Drosophila melanogaster: one gene and its partner. The protein of the gene in region 1 interacts with the protein of each later gene in a pairwise test. Each region holds a gene or a part of one and is shown in the gene's direction. Other genes may lie near its edges.

Evidence for each region.
Region 2: the proteins of Ctps (region 1) and CG3528 interact in a two-hybrid assay, tested with the Drosophila melanogaster proteins (one large-scale study listed by BioGRID).

The regions. Positions count from the first base shown.
Region 1 is NT_037436.4:15,096,054-15,101,127, forward strand, and holds the start of Ctps (CTP synthase), read left to right. Parts: upstream 1-1,860; 5' UTR 1,861-2,297; coding exon 2,298-2,463; intron 2,464-2,480; exon of another isoform or gene 2,481-2,734; intron 2,735-2,790; exon of another isoform or gene 2,791-2,812; intron 2,813-3,207; exon of another isoform or gene 3,208-3,449; intron 3,450-4,000; exon of another isoform or gene 4,001-4,587; intron 4,588-4,933; exon of another isoform or gene 4,934-5,074. Other genes in the region: GlyRS (Glycyl-tRNA synthetase), read left to right, coding at 1-1,506. UniProt on the Drosophila melanogaster protein: Catalyzes the ATP-dependent amination of UTP to CTP with either L-glutamine or ammonia as the source of nitrogen. Constitutes the rate-limiting enzyme in the synthesis of cytosine nucleotides.
Region 2 is NT_033779.5:2,516,468-2,520,100, reverse strand, and holds CG3528 (uncharacterized protein), read left to right. Parts: upstream 1-2,063; 5' UTR 2,064-2,144; coding exon 2,145-2,450; intron 2,451-2,503; coding exon 2,504-2,905; 3' UTR 2,906-2,999; downstream 3,000-3,633.

The DNA.
Region 1 (5,074 bases):
CCCGCCCTGCAGGCCGAGTGTGAGGATATTATCATTAAACTGGATGGCCTGAACAAACAGGAATTGGCTGGTGTCCTGGCCAAATACAACATCAAATCTCCATTAACCGGCAATGATTTAACAGAACCGATTGAGTTCAACCTGATGTTTGCCACCCAAATTGGACCCACTGGCTTGGTCAAGGGATTCCTGCGGCCCGAAACTGCCCAGGGTATCTTCGTCAACTTCAAGCGACTGCTGGAATTCAATCAAGGCAAGCTTCCCTTCGCTGTGGCTCAAATTGGCAACTCCTTCCGCAATGAAATCTCACCCCGATCGGGATTGATCCGTGTGCGAGAGTTCACCATGGCAGAGATTGAACATTTCTGTGATCCCGTGCTCAAGGACCATCCCAAATTTGGCAACATCAAATCGGAAAAGTTGACCCTTTACTCGGCGTGCAACCAGATGGATGGAAAGTCTGCCGCTCAGGTGCAAATCGGCGAAGCAGTGGCATCCAAACTGGTGGCTAATGAGACACTTGGTTACTATATGGCCCGCATTCAGCAGTTCCTGTTGGCCATTGGTATCAAACCGGAGTGCTTGCGATTCCGGCAGCACATGTCCAATGAGATGGCTCACTATGCATGCGATTGCTGGGATGCCGAAATTCTTACCTCCTACGGATGGGTGGAGTGCGTAGGATGTGCGGATCGCAGTGCCTACGATTTGGGACAGCATACGGCCGCCACAGGTGTGCGTTTGGTGGCCGAGAAGCGTCTGCCGGCTCCCAAAACGGTCGAGGTCAGCGAGATTGTGCCAAACAAGCAGGCTCTCGGAAAGACCTTCAAGAAGGAGGCAAAGAACATCACGGATGCGTTGGCTAAGCTTTCGCTGGAGGAGATAACCAAGGTAGAGGAACAGCTGGCTGGCGATGGTCAATACAAACTGACCACGGCCGATGGCCAAAGCCACGATCTCGGAAAGGACACCATCAGCGTTAAGCACTCTACGAAAACGGTCCATGTGGAGGAGTTCATCCCGAGTGTGGTTGAGCCTTCATTCGGCATTGGTCGCATCATGTACTCCCTGTTGGAGCACAGTTTCCAATGCCGCGACGGCGACGAGCAGCGGTGCTACTTTACGCTACCGCCTCTGGTGGCGCCCATCAAGTGCTCCATCCTTCCGCTGTCCAACAACACCGACTTTCAACCTTATACTCAGAAACTGTCTTCTGCCCTGACCAAGGCGGAACTTTCGCACAAGGTGGACGACTCCAGTGGATCCATTGGCAGGCGGTATGCCCGCACGGATGAGATTGCCATACCCTATGGCATCACCGTGGACTTCGACACTCTAAAGGAACCGCATACGGTGACTCTGCGAGATCGGAATACTATGAAACAGGTGCGCGTCGGTCTGGAGGAGGTTGTGGGCGTCGTCAAGGACTTGTCGACGGCGAGAACCACCTGGGAGAGTGTCACCGAACAGTATCCTCTGTTCGAACAGCAGGAGGCCAGCAAGTAACTGGTTGATCAAGGAGTTTCTTTCGCTTGGCACGCATTTACAGAGTTTCAAAGTTTTCTTATTTTTGTATAAATAAAATTCAATAATTCAATAATTTCTTATAAAATTCAATAAATATGCAACATTTAATGCTTTGCGCTTTGAAATGGGAGTGTGTTTATCTTCAATATGAATTTGATGTTTATTTTCAAAAAATATTTTTTCTCGGTGAAATTTCTTTTTAAATTATTTAATATAATTTTAAATATGCACATTTAAAGTTGTTTGGATCTATGACAATTCAAATTTACCGGATATTATGATTTATTTACACTTAAAATTGGTAATATAAAACGTGAAATTCCTTTTAAAAACGCAAACTATACACAAAGAGTAAAAATATAAACAAGGGAAAGTAATACGAATTATAGGCCATTTTTTCTTTAGATTTAAATCGCAAGTTTCCAAATAAATATGTAACCAGTCCTCACTGCTATGCTAAAATTACATTTGATTCTTGTTTATTTTTGCGGGAACTCAATTTTAATGCATAGGAAACCGCGCGGTTTTTGTGACGTTTAACAACACACGGTGAGTCACTGGTATTCTCAATGAAATGAGCGGTGGTCATACCATAAATACGTATGAGATATTAAACGAATCCAATTTCTAAAACCACGTGCAGCAAAGGCAAATAAACAATAAATTGTGGCTCGGATTGCCTCAGATTGAGTGTCCACCGCGAATTGAACCGATAACACGATAATCCTCCACATTTGGTGATCCCAAAGATTGACATTCGAGACGAAAGGATGAAATACATCCTGGTAACTGGTGGCGTCATTAGTGGCGTGGGAAAAGGAGTGATTGCCTCCTCGTTCGGAACGCTTTTGAAATCCTGTGGTCTGGATGTAACCTCGATCAAGATTGACCCCTATATCAATATAGATGCTGGAACCTTTTCGCCTTATGAGCATGGTGAGTTTTCAAGAGGTCTTCCCATTATTTTATATGGTGTCTATAGTATGTCTTGCTTTCGACATTCGAAAAATGTCTGGTCTCTTATTTTGGCAATTTTTCAATATTTTGCCCATCTGTGCGAGTGTAAGTGTGCGGCGAGTGTCAGTATGTGCATCTATTGTTGTAAGACTATTGTTGTTGTAAAGCCACGCGTCTGGTTATAACCACATGGTGTGAGGTGACGGAAAAGGAGAGAGCGGTGTGGCGCTCTCCCGCCAAAATAAATAATCTGAGCAAAAACAAACGTTTAATAACAAATAAATAAAGTAACAATACATCACTTACGATATGGGAAAACTTTTCAAATCTATAAAGACAATAATATATAATAATAATTATTCAATAATAAATGTAAAGTGAAACTAAATTTTACGATTTGTTTAATTTGATTTAATACAGGGTGCTTATAAAAAGAATGAGATGGTATCAAAATCGCATTTAAAGTAAATGGTAAAACTGTTTTTCTCAGTGTAAATAAACAAGAGGATGTGTAACAGAGATGCATAGAAAGGCAGTCGTCAGCTGTTTTTCATGCTCTCTATTTCTCTCGCTCTCTGATAACCAGCAACAATTGCACGTGTTCTTGAATCTTTGAGTCGGAAATCGAAAAGAAATTAACGCTTTTTCTGCTGGCAACAGAGATAGCAAGCAATTGCTACCAATGCTCATGCTCTTGTACAATGAAAGTTAGATCTCTCTCACCTTCTTCCTTTCTCTTTCTTAATCCCGCTCTTTGTTTTTGGCTCTCTCATCACAAAATTGCCTCCCCCAACCGGCAGACGTTTTTATTGTTGCTTGACATTGAAAATGAAAGTTTTTTCTGTCCGTTTCACTTGCTCTGCCTTGCTGGTTATTTTCTTATTTTTGTTTTGCTTTCCTTTTTTGCCTCTGTTAGTGGAGAAGGGAAACTTTTCACACAGGCGCACTTCTAATAAATTGAAACTGATCCGAACCCACTGGCGGCTCAATTATAACTGACAAATAGAACTTATTGTTCCTTACTTACATTTAATGATACCGTGTGAGTTGGGAAATTTATTTTATCTCTCTCTTTTTATTTACAATACGAAATTGATTGTACTCTCTTGCACTTTCTCACTGATCCGTTTTACTCACTCTGTACTTCCCCTGGCAAGTTGATGATAGCTACAATAACAACAACGTTTAATAAATAAACGGCAGCAGCGACACACACTTGCAAATTTATTTATACAACGTGCCAATGCAATTACTATGCGTTTATTTGCATGCGTGTGTGTGCGAGTGTGTTTGGGTGGTGGGCGCCTACCACTGTGCGTATGTGTGTGCGACATGTGCCGCAGCGTTGACCTGCAGGATTTGCTTGGCCGCTCTGCGCGTGCGATTAAATACATATGTATTTATGTAGTAACTTAAAGCGAAAGCAAAAAAAAATGTCGGTAGACAACGTTCTATCACAAAAATGGATTTTATAATATATTTAATGATCATTTAATGATCTGCCCGACAGGGGCTTCGGATAGGATGAGATGGGTACGTATGGGTATTGGTCCTCCACAGTACCAGGTCCCATCACATCGAATCGGATCGGATGGGTTTTGATCGGAGAAAAGAGGAACCCGTTTTGCGGCATTTTGATTTATAGGCGACTTATGCACTTGGCAGCCGCGGTGGGAGTGGAACTCGCAGCTGAGATGACACGTCTGACCGAATTCATAAGCGGACATCTGGCCAGGGTGCATTATATATTACACGGTATACATATCATAAGCTAAGCCTCGACGGGCACGGGAATTTCAATATTATATCGTGTACGCTAGGCGCCCTCACAATGCGGGTCAGCTGGAAAGCATTCGTATTGGTTAGTGTTGAGTGTTATAACACAACGTTCGCCTCTAGGCCTACGCATCGGGCACATCAAACAAGCTGGGCGGGCTTTTGTTGACGGCTGCCTGTTGGATCATCCGCTTGGCCTTCTCCAGGGACAGCTTCACCACCTCGATGATCTCGTCGTCCACGCCGCCGCCACCTATTGCCTTGTCCACATCGGTCACCTAGCAGTAGTACATGGTATGCTTGGCATCCGACGAAACAACTCCAAATCTGCAAAGGATTGAGGTGGGAATGCATTAATACATTTTATTGTGGTTAGTTTATGCGTGAACCAAACGGATACTGTTAATATGATTTTCTAGCCAAACATAAAATAACTAGAAGTATTCGTTCATAATTGAAATGCTTGAATAAAACTTAGATACTTGAACATGTAACAAAGTACTCTTAGTTGGACGGTTTATTAGGTTAGGTTAATATTTACACTTTAATTAATATAAAAGCGTATATCTACACAGTTGCTGAACATATAGTTAAAAAAGGTTATTAAGGTTTTTTTTTTTGGTTTAATACCCCTTGAAATGAAATTATTTAAGTTAAAAGTATTTCTACTCACCTTATCAATTATGACTCACTTTGATTGGTGTATATGGGCCCTAGCAACTTCGATGAATGAAATGGGCGGCCAGTTCATCTCCCTCGCGCAACGCACCAACCACCACCGCCCCCGCTAGCCCATTCATCCATAGGGGATTAC
Region 2 (3,633 bases), on another chromosome or scaffold:
TTTGTGTTAGCATTTGCCAACAGTTCAAAGGACTCGTGGCTGTAAGCCATTTATTTGCCGGACATGTGGCACTACTACCACTGCCAAGCGTCATTATAATAAGGAAATTGCACTCCAGAGTGGCGATGGGATTACACAGAAAATCTGGGAGTTTCGTAGTTAGGGGTCTGCAAAATGAAATCAAAATAGGAATTATAAAAACCCCTTCCTGGTTGACTTGCACATGCAAGCAGTATGCTTTTCTACGCTTTTCGGCAATCATGTCCATTGTCATGCTCGAAATGTATGAATGCTTGAAAAAATATGATTTACATATCTAGAAGTTCTCTGATAACTTCAATCTATGCAACTGCTCAAGTGGATGATTGGCATGCCCTGTGCGATAATGACGGCAACTGCTCAACTATAAATTCCAGCCCTCAGTCCATTCAGCACTTTCTGCAATTGAAATGCAGTTGCAGCCAGCCGACTCATTCATCAGAAATGTGCACTTAACACATGGCAAAAGCAGCCTCGACTTTCCCGAGGCAGCATTGAGCATTGCCGCCTCATTCTTTGGTAATGCACATAAATCCTTAGAGTGCGCACTTAACTCCTTTTTATGCTGCGACAAAGTACATTTACTAATGACCAAGTCAAACAATGGCCACGGCCAAGACGCAGCGGGCGAAATGCGAGTCCTGGCAGTCCTGGCGGTCCTGTAGGTCCTGCCAGTAGACTGGCGGGAAGTGGGTATGTCGTGACTTCAGCGGGGAGCAGGAGGATTGGCCCACGAAGTAGCAATTTACGCGCTCAAGACGGCGGCAAGCGGCAAGATGGTGACAAAGCATGCAAAACGGAACAGCAGTTGTTGCCCCAAAGTGATGGAGAGGGGGGAGGGAAGGGAAATTGTGAGAAGGCTTGGGAAAATGCAGAGGAAAACTATGGAGGGGGATCTGCACGTGGAGGAGCACTGAGCTCCAAGTGTCGGCAGCGGCTGCATGTTAATTGCTGCAGCGACGACAGCAACAACTGCAAACAGTGGGAAAGCGTGTCTAAATAGCGTAAATTCACACAGACACACACCTTCACGCAGGCAAGGGGAAAATCTAGCTGCGTATTGTGTGTGGAAATTGAAAAGCGAGCTGGAAATCTGCCAGGAAGTGCAGGACATCTTACACACCCTATTTGATATATAAATTATGGCTGATTAGCAGCGGCTGTTGGCATTGTTTTAATTGGTTTACCTGGTGATTAATCTCAAATGGCGAAAGGAACTTTGAAAGTGATTTATTTTTAAGGCAGGTTACAGTATCCTGTACAATTTCATAGACTTGGGTACATTTTTTAGTTGACTATAAACTATTCGTTGCAAGTTCATCAACTGGTTACCGTTTATGTGTAAATCTGATCTGATCTGAAAGTCCTTGGGATTCATAGGGCGATGTGCGGAACACTAGGTGTCACTTGTTAGACTGCTAATCCTCGACAGTGTGCGCTCAACGGGATATCAGGCGGAAAAGGACAAAGAGCGCTGCATACGCACAGGCTGAAAATGCAAATTTTCCCTTTGGCTGGCTGGCAGTTTAAAATGTTGATGAAGTAATTAGTTTAATATGCGAAATGCCCCTGATGGGCGGCGGGAGAGGGCGTGGCACATAGGGAAGTGTAATTGAAAATACTCACAGTTCTGGGCTAAAAGGGACAAGGGCACAGTCGGGGCTTGGGCATTGTGAAACTTTTTCCATTTATTAAATTTGCCACACGAACAGCGCAGCGGATTCTGCCAAGGGAACTCTATGTGGGAAATGTTTAATTATTTGTGCGCACATGAAATTAAAGCTGTTACAAATTGTTACAAACCATTCCGGCTATCAGTTTCTCAAACAAATTTCAATTAAGATAAGACTTTTTCACGAGTTTCGAAAATTAGAAGGAATATTTTTTGTGCTCAGCTACTTTCATTCGAAATTGAATATGAGAACAACTCTGCTTCTTCAGGCCCAGCAAAAGTTTTGCCTTTTGAGCCAAAGTTGGCAGTTTGTTGTCAGTAATGTATTTTGCTCGAACTTATTCAAAATATTATACATTTTGATTTACACGAAATCACAGTTTTCTTGCCATTCAGCAGCTTTTCAGTTTTAGTTTTTTGAGTTTCGCGCGGAATGAATCTGATTAACTTTAATCATTACCAGGACTATGTAGACAGCTTCATAACCATCCAGGACACTCGCTATTTGGGCAACAAAGAGATCCAGAGGAACCTGATCCAGAATGCCTGCGGTAAGAATTGCCTGGGTAATCTGCTCACCCGCGAGCAATTCTACCAGCGGAAGGAGAAAGAGTTGGTGCTTCTAAAGCCAAGGGGACTACGAGGACTCCAACTTTTTGGAGACTACTTGAACAACAAAGATGAGGTGCTCCAACAGTTTGCCAATCGAGAGAAGAAGCTGCTCGAAAAGCAAATTTCGGTTAGAAGGTTACATTTATGTGTAGTGAAATGTGTACATTTTGTAATTTTTAGACCGTCGTCTACCTGGTGATGCGTTCGAAGAAGGGTCTAGAGATCTCCAGCTTTCTGGACCTGGAGCAGAGTCTGCGCGAGTCGCGATTCGAGAACTCTACAAGCTGCGTAGACTGGCGGGCCATTTTCGAGGGCAGAACGAAGCTGAGGCCATCGAATCTGCATCTCAGCTACTTCGACTGGCACCAGAATCGTGTGTCCTTCAACAACAGCGACAATTTCCGGGTGTTGAACAAGAGGCCCCACAGTCTGCTGCTAAAGCATGTTGGCGATCACAAAATATTCTGTGTGAACGCCTCCTGCGATTGCGAGCACTCGAAAAATGTCAGCCGCAAAACGTATTTCTCGCCCATTTATGGATATGTCATATTCTTCGACCACATAATCAGGCGCATTAATTAGCGACGGCTTTAAAGTGTCAATGAACGTAATCGTCGTTAAATGAAATGTGCAAATAAATCGAAACGAGGGCGCATTTGTCGCTGACAGCTAACGTAAATTGCTTTTCATATCTTATCAGTACAGTTCTGGTCGCAGTTTTTGATGGACGTTTCGAGGTCCTTCCGCCCGGCGAGTCCTCCGTCCATCAGGCGGCGGAAATTACCCGAGCTTTATGCCACTTTGTTGAGTTTATCGCAGTCAGGGAACATCAATTGCATAAATCTATTAACTGTCGCCCGGCGGAATGGGGGCGTGGTTGAGCCTTCAACTTGACCAATATGTTTCTGTTTGCGCATTTGCCATTGTTTGCCAACTTGCTTGTGTGGGTCAGCTTATGACGCTTTGTTAATTCTCCCAACAGTGTGTCTGTTTAATTGGCCTTTCCACTCATGCAAATCAACTTGGCCAAAATTTACACAAGGCTGAAAGGAGAATTTGCTACGGCTTACACATTGGTGGTTAATGAGTTGAAAATATTAGTAGTCAGTCTTAATAAAAATTATATGAATACAATTAAATCCACTCTGTTGCCCAGATACCATGTTTTTGGAGAAGCAAATTCAAATAAATATTAAATACGCCTAAATTATGATTTAAGTGCCACATGCAGAGGCAGTGCAATTTAATTTGCATATACAATTAGCTGCTAATTTACAACTTTTAGTCTCCACTGGGCCATGGCTAAGTTC